Linked DNA regions of Elephas maximus indicus. The protein of the gene in region 2 interacts with the protein of the main gene of each other region in a biochemical or structural test. Links are inferred from orthologs where the notes say so. Each region holds a gene or a part of one and is shown on either strand. Other genes may lie near its edges.

Region 1 (7,376 bases), on a different chromosome or scaffold from region 2:
GTCTAACACCCCTGACATCAGCCCAAGGGCCAAACTCAGTCCCCCAGTGTCTCAAGCACTAGTCGCATTAGGCAGGGTCCTCCCCACAAGCTCAACCAAGGTAGAAGGGGGCAGAACTGGGAGTGGCACATATCTACCACCATGGCCCCATGCCAGCTCTGCTGGCCAGCTGGTGATCACCAGCTCCTGTCCCTCATTCATCCCAAGATAGGCTTCATCCCAGCCACCCCAAGAATTTCAGGTCCTACTCTCCCCATGGCTGCCCCAGGCATTGCATGGCCTGCTCAGGGTTCCCCAACGCCATCTATAACCACCACACACTGGCCTGTTGAGCCAAGGCCCCACAACCAGGTATTGGTGGTGGACCCCACCTGCCCCTCCCGCCCCACAGAACGAAGAAGATACAGAGGCCATGCAGTAACATTCCCCTTTAATAGCCAGGTGGGACCTCCAGTGGCAGAGGGGTAGGATGCTGGGGCCCCAGCTACACAGACCCCCTTGTCTACCCATCCCAGTGCCCAGTGTGGGGGGCTGGACAGCACCCAGCGGGGGGCTAGACAAGCCAATTCATTTCCCATCGCTGAGCAGGTCGGGGGAGGCAGCGCTGACCTTAATCACATGGTGGTTAAAAAAAAATAACAAGGGGTAGGTGGCAGGGAGGGGAGGCAAGGCCAGGGTGGGCGACAACCCCCCACCGGCCGCCCCACATCCCCCACCTGTGGCCCCCAATAAATATTTGCAGGGGACGCCGGGGTGGTAGCCCTGGCGGGGGTGGGATGGGCGCCAATCCTATTTGAGGCAGCGCTCGAAATAGGTGGAGCCGATGTAGCCACCCCGCATAGAGCGCTGCACATTCTGCTCAAACAGCCGTCGGTTGTTCTGCAGGACCTCAGCAGCTTCCTTGTTCAGTGGGTCCTCGGGGTTGGGCTCCTGCAGCCAGCAAGGAATGGGTCAGCAGGCTGAAGGGGCAGAGGGGCCAGGTCAACCTCCCACAGCCCCAAGCCTTGCCCGCACCTACTCACCAAGAAGAGATACTGCAGACCATAAATTATGGAGTTTATCGTAAGGACTGGCTTCCAGTCCTCTCTGCGGACAGAGTATCAGGGTCAGGGGCTGCTAAGCAGGTGGCTGCTGTGGTCCCTGTTGGGACTCCACAGATGAGGCACAGGGCATGGGAGAGTGGGGATGTGAGGCTGGAGGGAATGTGCAGAGTACAGGCCAAGGAAAAAACCAGGCCACGAGGAAGAATATGTGGAGATGGAAGGGACAGTGGGACACAGACTGTTAAAGGAGAGAAGGAAAAGAGACAGACCTAGAGCCCATGAGGGAGGTCTAGAGGCAGGGCTGGGGTACAGGAGGGCAGCAGGGGGTCAGCACCTTACCTGAGGATGTTGAGGCAGACATTGCCCTCGAGGTCGATGTTGGGATGATAGACCATTGTCTCACACTTCACCTTGGGGGGGTCATGTGGGTAACCCTGACCCACCTCGGGGGAGAAGAGAGAAGAGGTGGGTAAGGTGCCTGTCAGGGCCTGGTTGGCGCCTCAGCCGCCTCCTCCTCAGCCCAGGGAGCTGCTGCCCCTGCCTGCCTGGGACTCACCTTAAAACTGAACACAAACTTCCCACTTTTGTAGAAGCCCTGTCAGTGGGAGAAAAGAAGAAACGTCAGGGCCCAGTTGTGTATGGGCCTGGCAGACAGGCTGGGTCCCCCTCCCTGTGGTGGGGCCACCTAGGGTCTGTCTAGGGGACCCAGGCAGATAGGGTCCCTCACCTCATCGGGACAGATGACCAGCTTGAAGTTGAGGAGATCGTCCGGGTCTGAAAAGTTGATATCACAGGTCTTGGGCAAGTTCAGCTCGTTTATGTCTGGGTTTGGGCAGCAGAAAAGGGGGACAGAGAGGAGGGCACTCAGGGCAGGTGCCAGCAGAGGCCCCATGGTCTCCTCGTGGACTCCTGGGCCTCATTCTGAGCCCTACACCCCCAACCCTTGTCCTGTCCTTGCTGGTGGGCCTTCCCTCATCCCAGAGATGGGATCTTCTGGATCCACAGCATACCCCAATTGTGCACCTTAAGATGCAGCTTTGAGTCCTGGCTCCTGACCCAGGCTGAACTCCCTGCTCTTATGTATGTTTTCAGTCTCCAATATTTGAGTCCACCAATTGAGATCCTAAGTGTACCCACCCCCATGCGGCCCACCCACCTGCTGCCCAAGTCCCCGGTCCCCAGCACCCTAGGTTGAAACAGCCTCTGACCACTCCAAACGTCGGGTTCCCCAGCCATGACTTCTCTCCAGTGGACACTGCCCATCCCCCCATGCCCAGCCAAACTCAGGAGACCTGATTCCCCACTCCAATTCCCTGAATTTTCCCTCACCACAGTCAGAGGCCTCCATCATCCCTCCCTCATCTATCTGTCACCCCAAAGACCCACAAATTCCTGGCACCCCTAACCCGACCCCACTCCATCTGACTCCGAGATTCTCACTGTTTCCAACATGATACTCTAAATCTCCCCCGCCATCCCTCTCTCACCCCGAACTCAGGTTCTCGCCTGAGTCCCAGACCTGTGAGTTCCCAGCCGCCTGTCTCCCCTCCCTCCCCTGCCCCTCAGATTCCCGAGTCCCTCATACCCTTCCTCACTTGGCCTTCCTCATATCATAAATCTATCCCCGGCCCCCATCTCTGACCGCCCCCACGACCGCATCACCCCACCTCTCACCCACCAGATCACCCTACCCCCCACCTCTGACCTCCGACCCCAGGTGTCTGCATTACCCAGCTCCTGATACCCCATCCCTAGAACCTGACCTCCGACCCCCCGGTCCCCACCCCCCATTGCCCGATCCCCACACCCTACCCTTCTGGATCCGCAGCTGCGCCGCCGACGCCTTCTTGCTGCTGCCCTTGGTGCCGCCGGCCGACTCCTCCTCCTTCTTCTGCTGCTTCAGCGAGAACAGCTTGATCATCCTGCCGCCGCCGCCTCCGTCGCCGCCGCCGCGGGGCCCGGGACCCCGGCCACCCGGCCCCCCGCCGCCGCCCGAGCCGCCTCCGCTTCTCAGACCCGCCGCTGCGGCCTCCTCCGCCGCTGCCGCCGTCTGCCCGGCTCGCCGCGCTGCTCCGCGCCCACCGAGCGGCCCGCCTCGGCTCCCGTAGTCCGGCTCTGGCCTGGTCCTGGTCCTCGGGAGCGCTCGGGTAGACTCGGCGGTTCTCGGGTCGACTCGGCTGTTCTCGGCGGCGCTCGGCTCCGCCCCCACCAGGCCGCTCCCTCCTCCCCCTCGCCGGCTCAAGTCTGTTCAGGCCCAGCTGCAGCTGCGGACGCTGTGCTTGCTTACTCGCTCCTTTCGCGAGGGGGCTGCGGTTCGGCGTGAAGGAGGAGGCGGCGGCCGCGGTGGCGGCGCACGTATCCTGGAGGAGGCTCCGCTTCGCAGGCAGCAGCAGGTCCAAAGCGGAGGCCGGCAACGGCCTCGGGCGCCCATCCACTTCGGGTATTTCCGCCGCCTCCCCGCTTCGGCTCTTTCCGCCCGGTCTGTGCTGCGCCTGCGCAGCCGCTGCTTCGGGCGAATGGCGTTGCTCAGTGGAGTTTGGAGTTCGGGCTCCTTCGGCTCGGCTCGGCTCGGGTATTTCCGTTCATGGGGTCCTAGACTAGGTCTCCGATCCCGCGAACGGTTCCGGAGATAATCTTGGGCCCGGATAGGAGGTGCCCCGGCCATGTTTGAATGGGGCAGATACTCGCCGCCTCTCTCGCTGTGCGGCCATCCCCACTTGTGCATGAGCGTGGAGCACCTTCGCTTGCACGCATGTAGAGAGCGGCTGGTGTAGGTGAGACGATGTCTCTATTCCCGGATGCCACATAAACAAGGTGATCGCGCCGACCAGAGCCTGGGTGAGGCTGGGGGCCCTGCCAAGAGGGTGTGGTGTTGGGCACCCTTAGTGTCCCATCGCAAACTCAAAAGACCCCTACTCATGGACGTTTTAGCTGAGGTCAACTAACAAATAAAACATATATTATGGCAGAGAGCGGTAAGCACTATGCAGATCGTCAGGGGTGGTCAGGAAAGACTCCGGGGTGGACTCGGACGAGGGAGTTGAGGGGGCTGGCGCGGGCTCGATCTCCAGCGCAGGCGCACTCCGGCCTTTGGCGACCCTTCCTTGCTGCCAGAGGCGGGGCGTTGTGTACGGGGGCGTCATGCTCCTCTCCAATCACAGCTCGGCGTCCGTCAGAGGGCGGAGGAAATGAAACCCACTAATCCACTGCGGTCGAGTGGATTCCGACTCAAAGCGACCCTATAGGACAGAGTAGAACTGCCCCGTAGAGTTTCCAAGGAGCGCCTGGTGGATTTGCACTGCGGATCTTTTGGTTAACAGCCATAGCACTTAACCACTAGGCCACCAGGGTTTCCGGGAGGAAATGGTGCCAGGAGATTCTGCTACATCCGGCCGTCACCACGGCAACCGCGGGCTCACCGAGAAAACCGTTTAGTGGGTTAGACGCGCCGCGAGGCTCTGCCGGTGCTGGGAGCCGGGCGGGGTGGGTGGCCGAGGCTGGACCGCTCAGCTCTTCAAGAGTCCGAAGGCAGCTTCGGGAGTGCGTCACCGTCGCGACGCGACGTCGCCGACGGGAGCATTGTGGGAGACCTAGCGCGGGCAATCCCGGGCGAGGGGGCGAGGGGGAATGGTGTGGTCGAATGGTGTGCTCACGGACCCCTCCCCTGCTGTCTATCCTCACCTCGGGAGCTGCCCCCACACTCCTTAACCCTGGCGTGGCATCCACACTGACTCCCTGTCCTCACCTCGGTGGAGTCGCCCCCACTTTCTCGGACTTTTGCTATTCCCGCCCCCACCTACTCGGAGGTGTAGGTGTGCCTGGGCACCTCTTGGCCACTTTGGGCCCTTGGTCTGATCCCACCTGCCTCTTCTGTCGCTCTCCCCTGAAGGCCTTTCTCCTCTGTTATCCATGCTGAGTCCCAAAGCTGTCCGGAGCCGCCTAAGTTGTCCCCCAAAGGTCTATTTCCCCACCCCCAGGGCTTCAGGGCACTTCCAGGCTGATGCCTCTCAACCGAGCCTTTAGTCCTCTGATTGTCCCAGGCTCAGTACGCAACCATCATTTCTAAGACTGAGTGCTGGGGTGAAGATGGGGCCTCAGAGGTCTCAAAGAGCTCAGATGTGAGGTCAACATGGCTGGAACTTCCCCAGTGTCCCCTGGCTTCAATACTGGACTGCCTGTTAAGTTCCCTCGTTTGTGCTCCAGATCTGCCCACCTTGGCGTCACAGCACAGGGCGGGGGCCCCACAAACACACCCCTCTTGGCCAGCAGCTCCTTGTTAGGGTCTGGGCACTACAGGGCATAGAAAAGGAGAAGGTACTTCATCCCCCGTTAGGCAGCCAGCAATACCTTTTCCCCCTGGCTGCAGCAGGTCCTTCCAGAGACATGAGTTGGTGCCAGGTTGTTTCCACACTTCCCAGAACTAGGTTCATCAGACTCCTTAGAGACACACCAGTGCCCCCTCCTCAAGGGTCTCATCCTAAGCCCATGGTGCCTCCTCCTCCTCAAGGACCTGAGTTTGAGCTCCATGAAGAACTCATCGAAGCTTCTAAGTTACAATACTTTCCTTTGTTCTTCCAGCCCTAGGAGTGCAGCTGCTCCCTGTAGTTCCTACCTCCACAACAGCTTAGTTTTTTTTTTTTTTTTTTAACCCTTTTCAGTTTCCCATCAATAAGCTAATACCTGGTATTCTTCATATGAAATTCCCTGTTAAAACACTTCTTGTAGCTTGTCTCCTGACTGGACCAAGACTGATGAAGGCCAGAAGTGGCGGACTCTCTGCAGGTGCTCACATGCTACATTTCCTCTTCTGTGGGTTTCGGAGACAGGGCTGGTGTCTAGGCAGAGCTGAAGCTGGACTGCTCTGCCACTTCCTGTCTACACCACTATTTCTGGGCTATTCACCCTTCCTAAGCTAGAACTGCAGGTGGGGCCCTGGTACCAGGGGTGTCTACGCAGGTTGGGGAAGGTGACAGTAGGAGCCATCTCCACCTTTTCAGGGGCTGTGGCCTTCAGAGGAACCATGTGGGTGGAGAGGACCCAATTTTCTTTTGGCTTTATTGAGCACCTACTGGGGCCGGGCACTGGGCTGGCCAGCTCATGCCTATACTTGTACCCATGCAACAGCTGGCCTCACAGCAATCCTGTGAGGTAGGTGTTCTGCCCCATGGACAGAGGAAGAACTGATGCGCAGAGAGGCAAGCCCTGCTTGCTGGGCTGGGTTACTCTGCACTGTGGACACGCTGGTGCTGGATGAACTTGGTACTCTGGTGGAAGCGGCGGCCACAGTCCTGGCAGGCAAAGGGCTTCTCACGACAGTGGGTACGCAAGTGCTGTGTGAGTGTGGGCCGCTGACGGAAGGCCTTGCCGCACTCCGGGCAGGCATAAGGTCGCTCGCCCGTGTGGATGCGCCGGTGCTGCGTTAGGTTGGCGTGCTGTCGGAAGCTCTGGCCACACTCAGGGCAGGCAAAGGGCCGCTCTCCCGTGTGGATTCGCTGGTGCTCGGTGAGCCGGGAGACCTGTGTGAAGCCCATGCCACACTCGCTGCAGTGGTAGGGCTTCTCCCCGGTGTGTGTACGCTGGTGGCGCGTGAGCTTGAGGCGCTGGCTGAAGCGCTGGCCGCACTCGGGGCAGACAAAGGGCTTCTCGCCCGTGTGAACGCGCAGGTGCTGTGTGAGCGTGGGTCGCTGGCGGAAAGCCTTGCCGCACTCCGCGCAGGTGAAGGGCCGCTCACCGGTGTGGATGCGCCTGTGCTGTGTGAGGTTGGAGCGCTGCCGGAAGCTCTGGCCGCACTCGGCGCAGGCGAAGGGCCGGTCGCTGCTATGCACCCGCCGGTGCTGCAGCAGCACCGAGCGGCGGCCGAAGCGCTCGCCGCACTCCACGCAGCCGAAGGACTTGTCGCCTGTGTGAACCGCCTGGTGCTCTAGCAACACGGCGCGCCGCGTGAAGCTCTCACGGCATTCGCTGCAGGGGAAGGGGCCTGGGGGCTCAGGCGCGCTGGGCGGTGCAGGGGGCGCGGCGCCGGGGCCTGGGGGGTCGCCGTGGATGCGCTGATGCTGCAGCAGGTTGGAGCGCTGCCGGAAGCTCTGGCCACACTCCGTGCAGCAGAAGGGCTGCTCGCCCGTGTGCACGCGCCGGTGCTCCTCCAGGCGTGCGCTGCGCACGAAGCCCCGACCGCAGTCGCTGCATACGAACGGCCGCTCCTCGGTGTGCGTGAGCTGGTGGCGCAGCAGGTGTGAGCTGCGGCTGAAGCTGCGGCCGCACTCACCGCACACGAACGGCCGCTCGCCTGTGTGGATCTTCTGGTGCCGCAGCAAATTGCTGCGCTGGCTGAAC
Region 2 (7,037 bases):
TGATTATGTTATTAATGAGGCACTCCTATTTCTCTCCAAGAACATGTGATCTTGCAAAGGACATACGTATCTACTAACCTAAATATATACAAATCCACGTCTAAAAGCTTACTAAAAAAAGCCCCAAACCCATTGACGTCTAGCCGATTCTGACTCATAGTGACCCTATAGTACTACCCATAGGGTTTCCAAGGAGTGGTTGGTGGATTCAAACTGCTGACCTTTTGGTTAGCTGCCAAACTCTTAACCACTGTGCTACCAGGGCTCCCTAATAGCCTACAATACTTATTAATTGCCTAGTGGGGACAAGGAAAAAAGTAGGTTTATAGCCTGACTTCTAAGAAACTAATAATATCTATAAAACTTCCCTTTCAATTTGAAAAACATATATCTTTCCCTAACACAGTCTTTGTCTATTCAAAACCATTGAATGGGTCTTTCTAATTGAATTGGTAGGCTGTCAACTGTTTTAATAACGTATATCTGCACAATCAAATCAGGTGTGATACAGTGATTAAAGGAGCTTGGTATACCTCGAAGCTTATGTCTAAGTAATGGCTATTCCCTTTCATGGGTTATTCGCAGCCCCTACTACCCATTTACAGACTGGGATGTAGAAAAGGCTTGGTACGCAGAGCCTCCAGACCTCTCTGACTACACGTGCTCTCTAAGAATAATGGAAATGAGGCCACCGTTTTCCCTGTGTCAGGCAGTGGTCAGCGTAAGTAGGAATACCAACTGGCAGGCATACAAAATCTAAATGCTTTCCCTGCTGGATCAGGTGGCAGTTTGCAGTAAAACTAATATCCTGAACATTCATTTGCTATTTGCAAGTCAGGGAATACTTGAGAGGATGTTTCATACACGTGTTGAGGATGCTGCTTTCCTAGGAAGAAAAATCTCTGACTTTTGGACTAGAGTGTATAGAAAGTCGTTACCAAATTTTACTCGGGTCTGTGGTGTGGTTTCCAAATTTCGAGATGTAAATAAGGACTCTATATTCTATGATGACAGGCTCCGTGATGACTTATTCGCTTTAGTGCCTGCCATATAGTATCCATTCAATAAATACTTCTTGAATAAATAAATGAATAAATGAATAAGTAGTGGGTTTTCTTAATGGCAGTGGCAGTATTATCCTCTCATTTTGAAGAACTTCTCTGGCTCTAACCAAAAACACAGTTGACAGTGACTCTTTTAAATGCCGCTGAACTTTGCTTAAGCAAAACCAACATATGAAAATATGGATTCGCAAAACAAACAAATTAAAGGATGATTATATGCTTTCCAATTAAGTGGAAATATGCCTTAATGCAATAGATTCCTAAATGCTGGCCTGTAATGAACTTTTCTCAGGTTCATAGTGAACGAAAAAAAAAAAAAAATCAGGGTTATTTATTGTTTCTCTTTAATAAAGTGAGGGGGATCATCTTTGGCAGTTTTTCCTTTTTAATGCCCTTACTTGCCAAAATAAAGTTGCCAACCCTGTATCGGCTCCCCAGTTTTCTGAAAAGTATTTTATTGGTTGATGAAATCTTGGGAGATAAATTTTAAAATATGATTCATTTTGCAATAGCATACAAGTTTTTTTTTTTTAAACCTACATATTGAATAAAGATAAACCATTATCTGTGGGTATAAACTTGGCCTTGATGCCCATGATCATAGTAGTCAACAAGTGTCCAGAGGGTACTGTGTGGTGAGCATTGCTCTCAGGCCTTTCTAAAATGCCTCAACTCATTTAAATCTCTTATCAGCCCAACTAGGAGGTACTATTATATCCTCCTTTTACAAATGAGGAATTCTAGGCACAAACAAGTCAAGCTCTTGCCCCCAAAACCATGTAACTTAGCTAGTAAAGGGGCAAAGTAGGAATTCAAACCAAAGACTCCAGAACATATATTCTTTTATTACAAAGAAATTGAGCCATAACAGTACAACCAATAGAAAAGCATTGGTTGTTATTGTATTCTATTGACTATGGAAATGAGTTTCTATTAGCACACAGATTATAAACTCCTAATGAAGACTCCTATTATCATATGTTAATGCAGAGCCTTTCCCAATCTTCGCTTATTGTCCCAGTTCTTGATGACCTATTTTTAGCTTCAGTATTTACAGATATTGCCTCAAGCAACATTCTCATTTATGTTTTGATGAGTAAGATCAAAAAAACAAAAACAAGAAAATATATTTTCAGTGTGGCAGGTCAACCAAGTAAGGGCTGAAAGCACAACACTCATAAATTCAGTCACCAGGATTAAGTTAATTTAGGGCAATTTAACCTAATATTAAATAAAAAAGTATATTTGAATTCACCTAATAAATTTGGCCTAAAAAAAAATTAAAACCTCAGCTCCCAAATGTCGATACACGTGCCAACAATAGTTTCTCATTTAAAATGTGAAGATAAAAAAATTCAGTGGAAACTCACACATTCCCCTGAAGAGTCTGAAACCTAACTATAACACTTGGGCAAGCATTTAAAATCAGGAAACTCATAGTAAATGAAAAGCAAAACTTATGAGTCAAATTAAATGTTTTGAGTATAAAAACTTTGGAATTTAAGGCAGACTGAATTAAAACAATAATGGTTTTAAAAACCTACAATGATCCTAGTGATGGTAAAAATGATTTGGCACGTTCAAGATGGGTTTCTATCATTCCATCTTCCTTCTATTTAATGTCGTTTACCAAATATTGCACTACATTAAGGGAGTTGTCATTTTATTTCAATGGTAATCGGAAAACAGGTTTTAACACTAATAAACCCTGGGTCCCCAGAAAAATCTCAGTGGATCAAGAGGTCCTGGAGCTTTTGCAACTTAAGCAAACTCTGGATTAACATCTCCACTCTTTGACCTGAGATCTGGGGTGTGCACATATTGCCCAAAAACCTTGTTAAGCATACAGGGCCCTGATTTCCGACACTGCAGGTAACTCCTGCACAAACTCTTCTTTCAACTTTTAAGTCTCTATTCAAGACTCGACGGCAATGGGTTTGGACCCATCCCTAGTCCTCATGCCCTAGAAAGACACAAGAACCAGTTCTAGGACATAGCTATCCACTTTGCACCACACGCTGCTCCCAGATACTGGCCTCCTGCCGCCCCAGCCCAGCCCAGCCCAGCCCAGCCCAGCCAGCGAAACCCAGCCCAACCGCATCTAGCCCCACAGTCCTATTCTGGCTCGCCGAGTTTCCCCCGCCCACTTCGCTCACGTGACCAGGACTCCCCGCCCCCCCGACCACGCGCCCCTTTCCACGCTCCACCAATCAGCAACGTCCTGCTCAGAACCAGGGCTCCGACGCTCGAGTTTCGAGAAGGCAGCACAGTCTTCCCGCCCTCAGCCCCGCCCCTCTCCTCCTCCCCATCTCGCTGGCCCCGCCCACTTCCCCCAACTCTCCGTTTCCCTACTCCCGCCTCTCTGTCCCCGCCCACTCCCGGGCTTCGCCCCGCCCCACCAAAGGCCGCGCGCGCTAGCCTCCTTCTCGCGAGAACTGACGTCCCCGCCGCGGCCGCCCGCGTCCCTTTCCCGTCCTCCCACCCCCCTCCCCCCAATCTCTCCACTCTCCGGCTCTCCTCCCTCCCTCCTCCCCCCTCCACCCTCTGGGCCGGATCTCGTCTCGCTGAGGCGGAGGAGGAGAAGGAGGAGGAGGAGGACGTTCGGCCTGCGCAGTGAGATGTTTGTCCGTCGCCGCCGCCGCCGCCATCGCGGAGGAGCGCGATAAAGGGTGCTGAGCCGGGTGTGAGGGGGACCCCGCGGAGCCTCCGCGCTAGCGCAGCCCCGCAGCCGAGACCGAGCCGCCGAGCCCGAGCCGCCGCCGCCGCCCCCGCCGCTGCGGCCGCCCACGGGCCGGCCAGCTCCCCCAGCCCAGCCCGGGGGCCGCGCCGCCGCCGCCCCCAGCGTCGCCCCTCGCCCGCCCGCCCGCCCGCCTTAAATGTGACACCGGCGCCTCGGAGCGCGACCTGAAGCCACTGCCGGGGAGGGGACGAGCACCATGTCGAATCTGAGCAAAGGCACGGGCAGCCGGAAGGACACCAAGATGCGGATCCGGGCCTTTCCGGTGAGTCTCTAGTCGGCGCCCGGGACCCCGGGGGCCCGGCCGTGAGCCGCACGCGAGGCCCGGGCTGAACTCCCCCAACAGGCCGCAGGCCCGGCCTCCCCTCCCCCACGCCTCTGGCCGCGGGGCGCGAGCCTGCCGGCAACCGGGCGGCAAGGGGACCGGCGCGGCCGCCTCCCACCCCGCGCCCCGCAGCTGGGACTCCCGCGGGCCCGCGGGCGTTGGCTGCGGCCGGAGCCCCTCGCTGGTCCCCACACCTTTCCGCGTTGCTGGGGTGTAGGCCCTATCCCCTGCACTCGTCTTCCGACTCGGTACCCGGGACCCCGAGTCCTGCAGGGATGGGAACTGGCGAAGTCTTCCTTGTGTGTGGGGTGTGTGTAACTTTTCACGTGGGGTTTCGCTGCGGCTTAAAAAATCACCCAGCCCAAATGACGGCCAAGCATTTAGGGTGATGAAGGGGACTGTTTCTCTCTCTCTCTCTCCCGGCCTCCTTAGGCAGGGTTATGCCTTCAACCTGCCACCGACGCAGTGACAGTGGTTCCACGTAATACACAATGGTAATAGCCTAATAGAATGGGCTGTATTGATAGCATCTTTCATCCCATAAGCTTCCAAAGCACCTCACAAACTCTGCTGTAGGAATTGCCTCACCAAGGAGATGCAAGAGAAAACAAATTGGATGGCTCGCCCTTGGTTTCATAGCCTTGGAAGCCCAAGAGAATGAGTATAGTCACCACCCTGAGTTGCTTTACTCTCTTCGTTTTAGTAACAGCAAACCTGCTCGGTTCGAAACTTTTTCTTTTTTGGTGTTGAATCATACGTTTGTTTAGTGTTTAGAACATAACTTTTGATGTCATACCTGATTCATATAGTCAGTGGCAACCGATTAAAATGTATTGCTGTAATAGAGAGACTGGACATAGTTGCTCATGTCGCTACAGTAACAGACATATATCAGGATAGACAAACTAGCAATTGAGCTAGAATTGATTTAAAAACTAGAGAAGGATCTCGGTTTTCCTTAGAACCATAAACACCATGTGGGGAGAAAAGGGGGGGGTACTTGTACTATTATTTAAGTATGCTTTTTTTTTTAAAGTGTACTATTTGCAGCCAGGGAAGACTTATTAATTTTCCTCGTTGCATGAGGAATTTCACCCCACAAAACTTGAGAACCTCTCTGAATTCTTAATTAAAAAAAAAAAGAATACATTTGATGCAAAACGCTGAAATCGCAAGACCATAAATACTACTGTCAATGTGTAGAAAACACTAACGTCAGTGTGTGGAAACTTCTGTCTTTAGGTAAACAAAGGTCGGATAGAAAGACTAGAACTGCCCAATAGAGTTTCCAAGGCTGTAAAAGAGTAGAATATAATGAGGGGAGAATTTGATACTAATTAAAGAGGTTTTGTGATTAAAGAGGTTTTGAATTTTTGAAGTTTTTCCTTGGTACGAGAAACTACATCAGACACTCAGAGATGTTGACAAAGGAGCACTAATGAAGTTCGCTTGCATGTTTTCCCTTATAATGGGGGAAAAGAGCTGGATTTTTGAATGCGTGAGCAAAGTTTTCCTACTAGTTCAGTTCTGACCATTTTAAGCAGCGTTTAGAATATTTGTTTTATACAGCAGGTGTTCTGGGATATGTTTGCTATCTTACATTGCTCATTCTTGAAGACTGAACTCTTCTAATTCATATTTATTGCTAAAATATGGAATAGCTCACGTTTGATGTCAGCTCACTTCTTATGTTAATATTTTTCTGATTACCCAGTTGTCTGTTGTATCTTTATCTATGTGTATAATCAACTCTTTGATCTTTTTAGATTTGTGGGTTCTTACCTATTCCTCCCTCCATTCATTCAGCATATATTTACTGAGTACTGTGTCAGGCTCTGTTCTAGGGTCTTGGAATATAGCAGTATAGCTTTAAAGACCAAGATCCCTGCTTTCTGGAGCATGTATTGTTGAAGGGAAGGAGTGGGAGTGAATTTCATTATTCATTTAGCTGAAGAGTATAATATTATGTGATAGGTTAGCATTTTTTTTTTTTTTTAGCATATAGTACTGGACTGATTTTTTTTTTTTTGGTAGCATTATGGTTATGCACTGAAATAGATCCTTTAAGTCTGTACTTTGTTGCATTGTAAGTTTTTCTAAAATCCTTTAATTAAGTTTGATATTCAGTAAAAAGATTGCTAGTTTTTAAAAGTGCAAGAATTTTCATTACGCTTTAATAAGTATTGACACTATCATTCATAAATAGTTCCCACAGGAAAGAGCTATTCTTTTTTTAATGTAAATTTTTTAGTCATAGTTCCTTGCGCCTTCATTAAGGATAAATGGCTCAGTGGTACCCCATGTCACTGACTTACTCATCCTTTGGTATTTGAGCACTTGTAGATCTTTTTTCTTGTAGGTTAGCAACCTTGACTACGTAACTAGTCGGCATGGCTGTATGGTCAGAAGTAGTAGATGTATTACATTCCATAAAGAAAAAATACTGTGTATGTGTACATATGTATATGTACATAGTTACAATTATAGAATTTTACATGTTTGGATTATATAGTTTCTGTAAGTTAAGGGAGAAACCTTGGTGGCGTAGTGATTAAGCAGTATGGCTGCTGACCGAAACGTCAGCAGTTTGAATCCACCATGCGCTTCTTGGAAACTGTATGGGGCAGTTCTGCTCTGTCCTGTAGGGTCGCTATGAGCCAAAATTGACTTGATAGCAACAGGTTTTTTTTTTTTTTTTTGGTGTAAGCTAAAGGAAGTTGCGGTAATTTACCCAAAGGTCTCAAGTATTCACTTCAGATCATGTTTCACAAAATTGATGTGTAAACAGTATAAAAATAGGTTTTGGGAGCATTTTTTCATTGCAAAATAGAGTGGTGAGTGAACGTACAGGGTATTTTATATTTGTGTAAGCATGCTTCAGGTACAGTCCCACTAGTGAAATCAGGTTCAT

Evidence for each region. The genes of interacting proteins can lie anywhere in the genome.
Region 1: the proteins of CUL3 (region 2) and UBE2M form a complex in vitro, tested with the Homo sapiens proteins (2 studies listed by BioGRID, with this or other methods). The link is inferred for Elephas maximus indicus from reciprocal best matches to the Homo sapiens genes CUL3 and UBE2M.

What each region holds. Positions count from the first base shown.
Region 1 is NC_064829.1:87,254,323-87,261,698, reverse strand, and holds UBE2M (NEDD8-conjugating enzyme Ubc12), read right to left. Parts: upstream 3,038-7,376; 5' UTR 2,965-3,037; coding exon 2,856-2,964; intron 1,866-2,855; coding exon 1,771-1,865; intron 1,639-1,770; coding exon 1,600-1,638; intron 1,487-1,599; coding exon 1,383-1,486; intron 1,087-1,382; coding exon 1,023-1,086; intron 931-1,022; coding exon 790-930; 3' UTR 376-789; downstream 1-375. Other genes in the region: MZF1 (myeloid zinc finger 1), read right to left, coding at 6,263-7,376.
Region 2 is NC_064824.1:123,855,186-123,862,222, reverse strand, and holds the start of CUL3 (cullin-3), read left to right. Parts: upstream 1-3,937; 5' UTR 3,938-4,000; coding exon 4,001-4,066; intron 4,067-7,037. UniProt on the Homo sapiens protein: Core component of multiple cullin-RING-based BCR (BTB-CUL3-RBX1) E3 ubiquitin-protein ligase complexes which mediate the ubiquitination and subsequent proteasomal degradation of target proteins.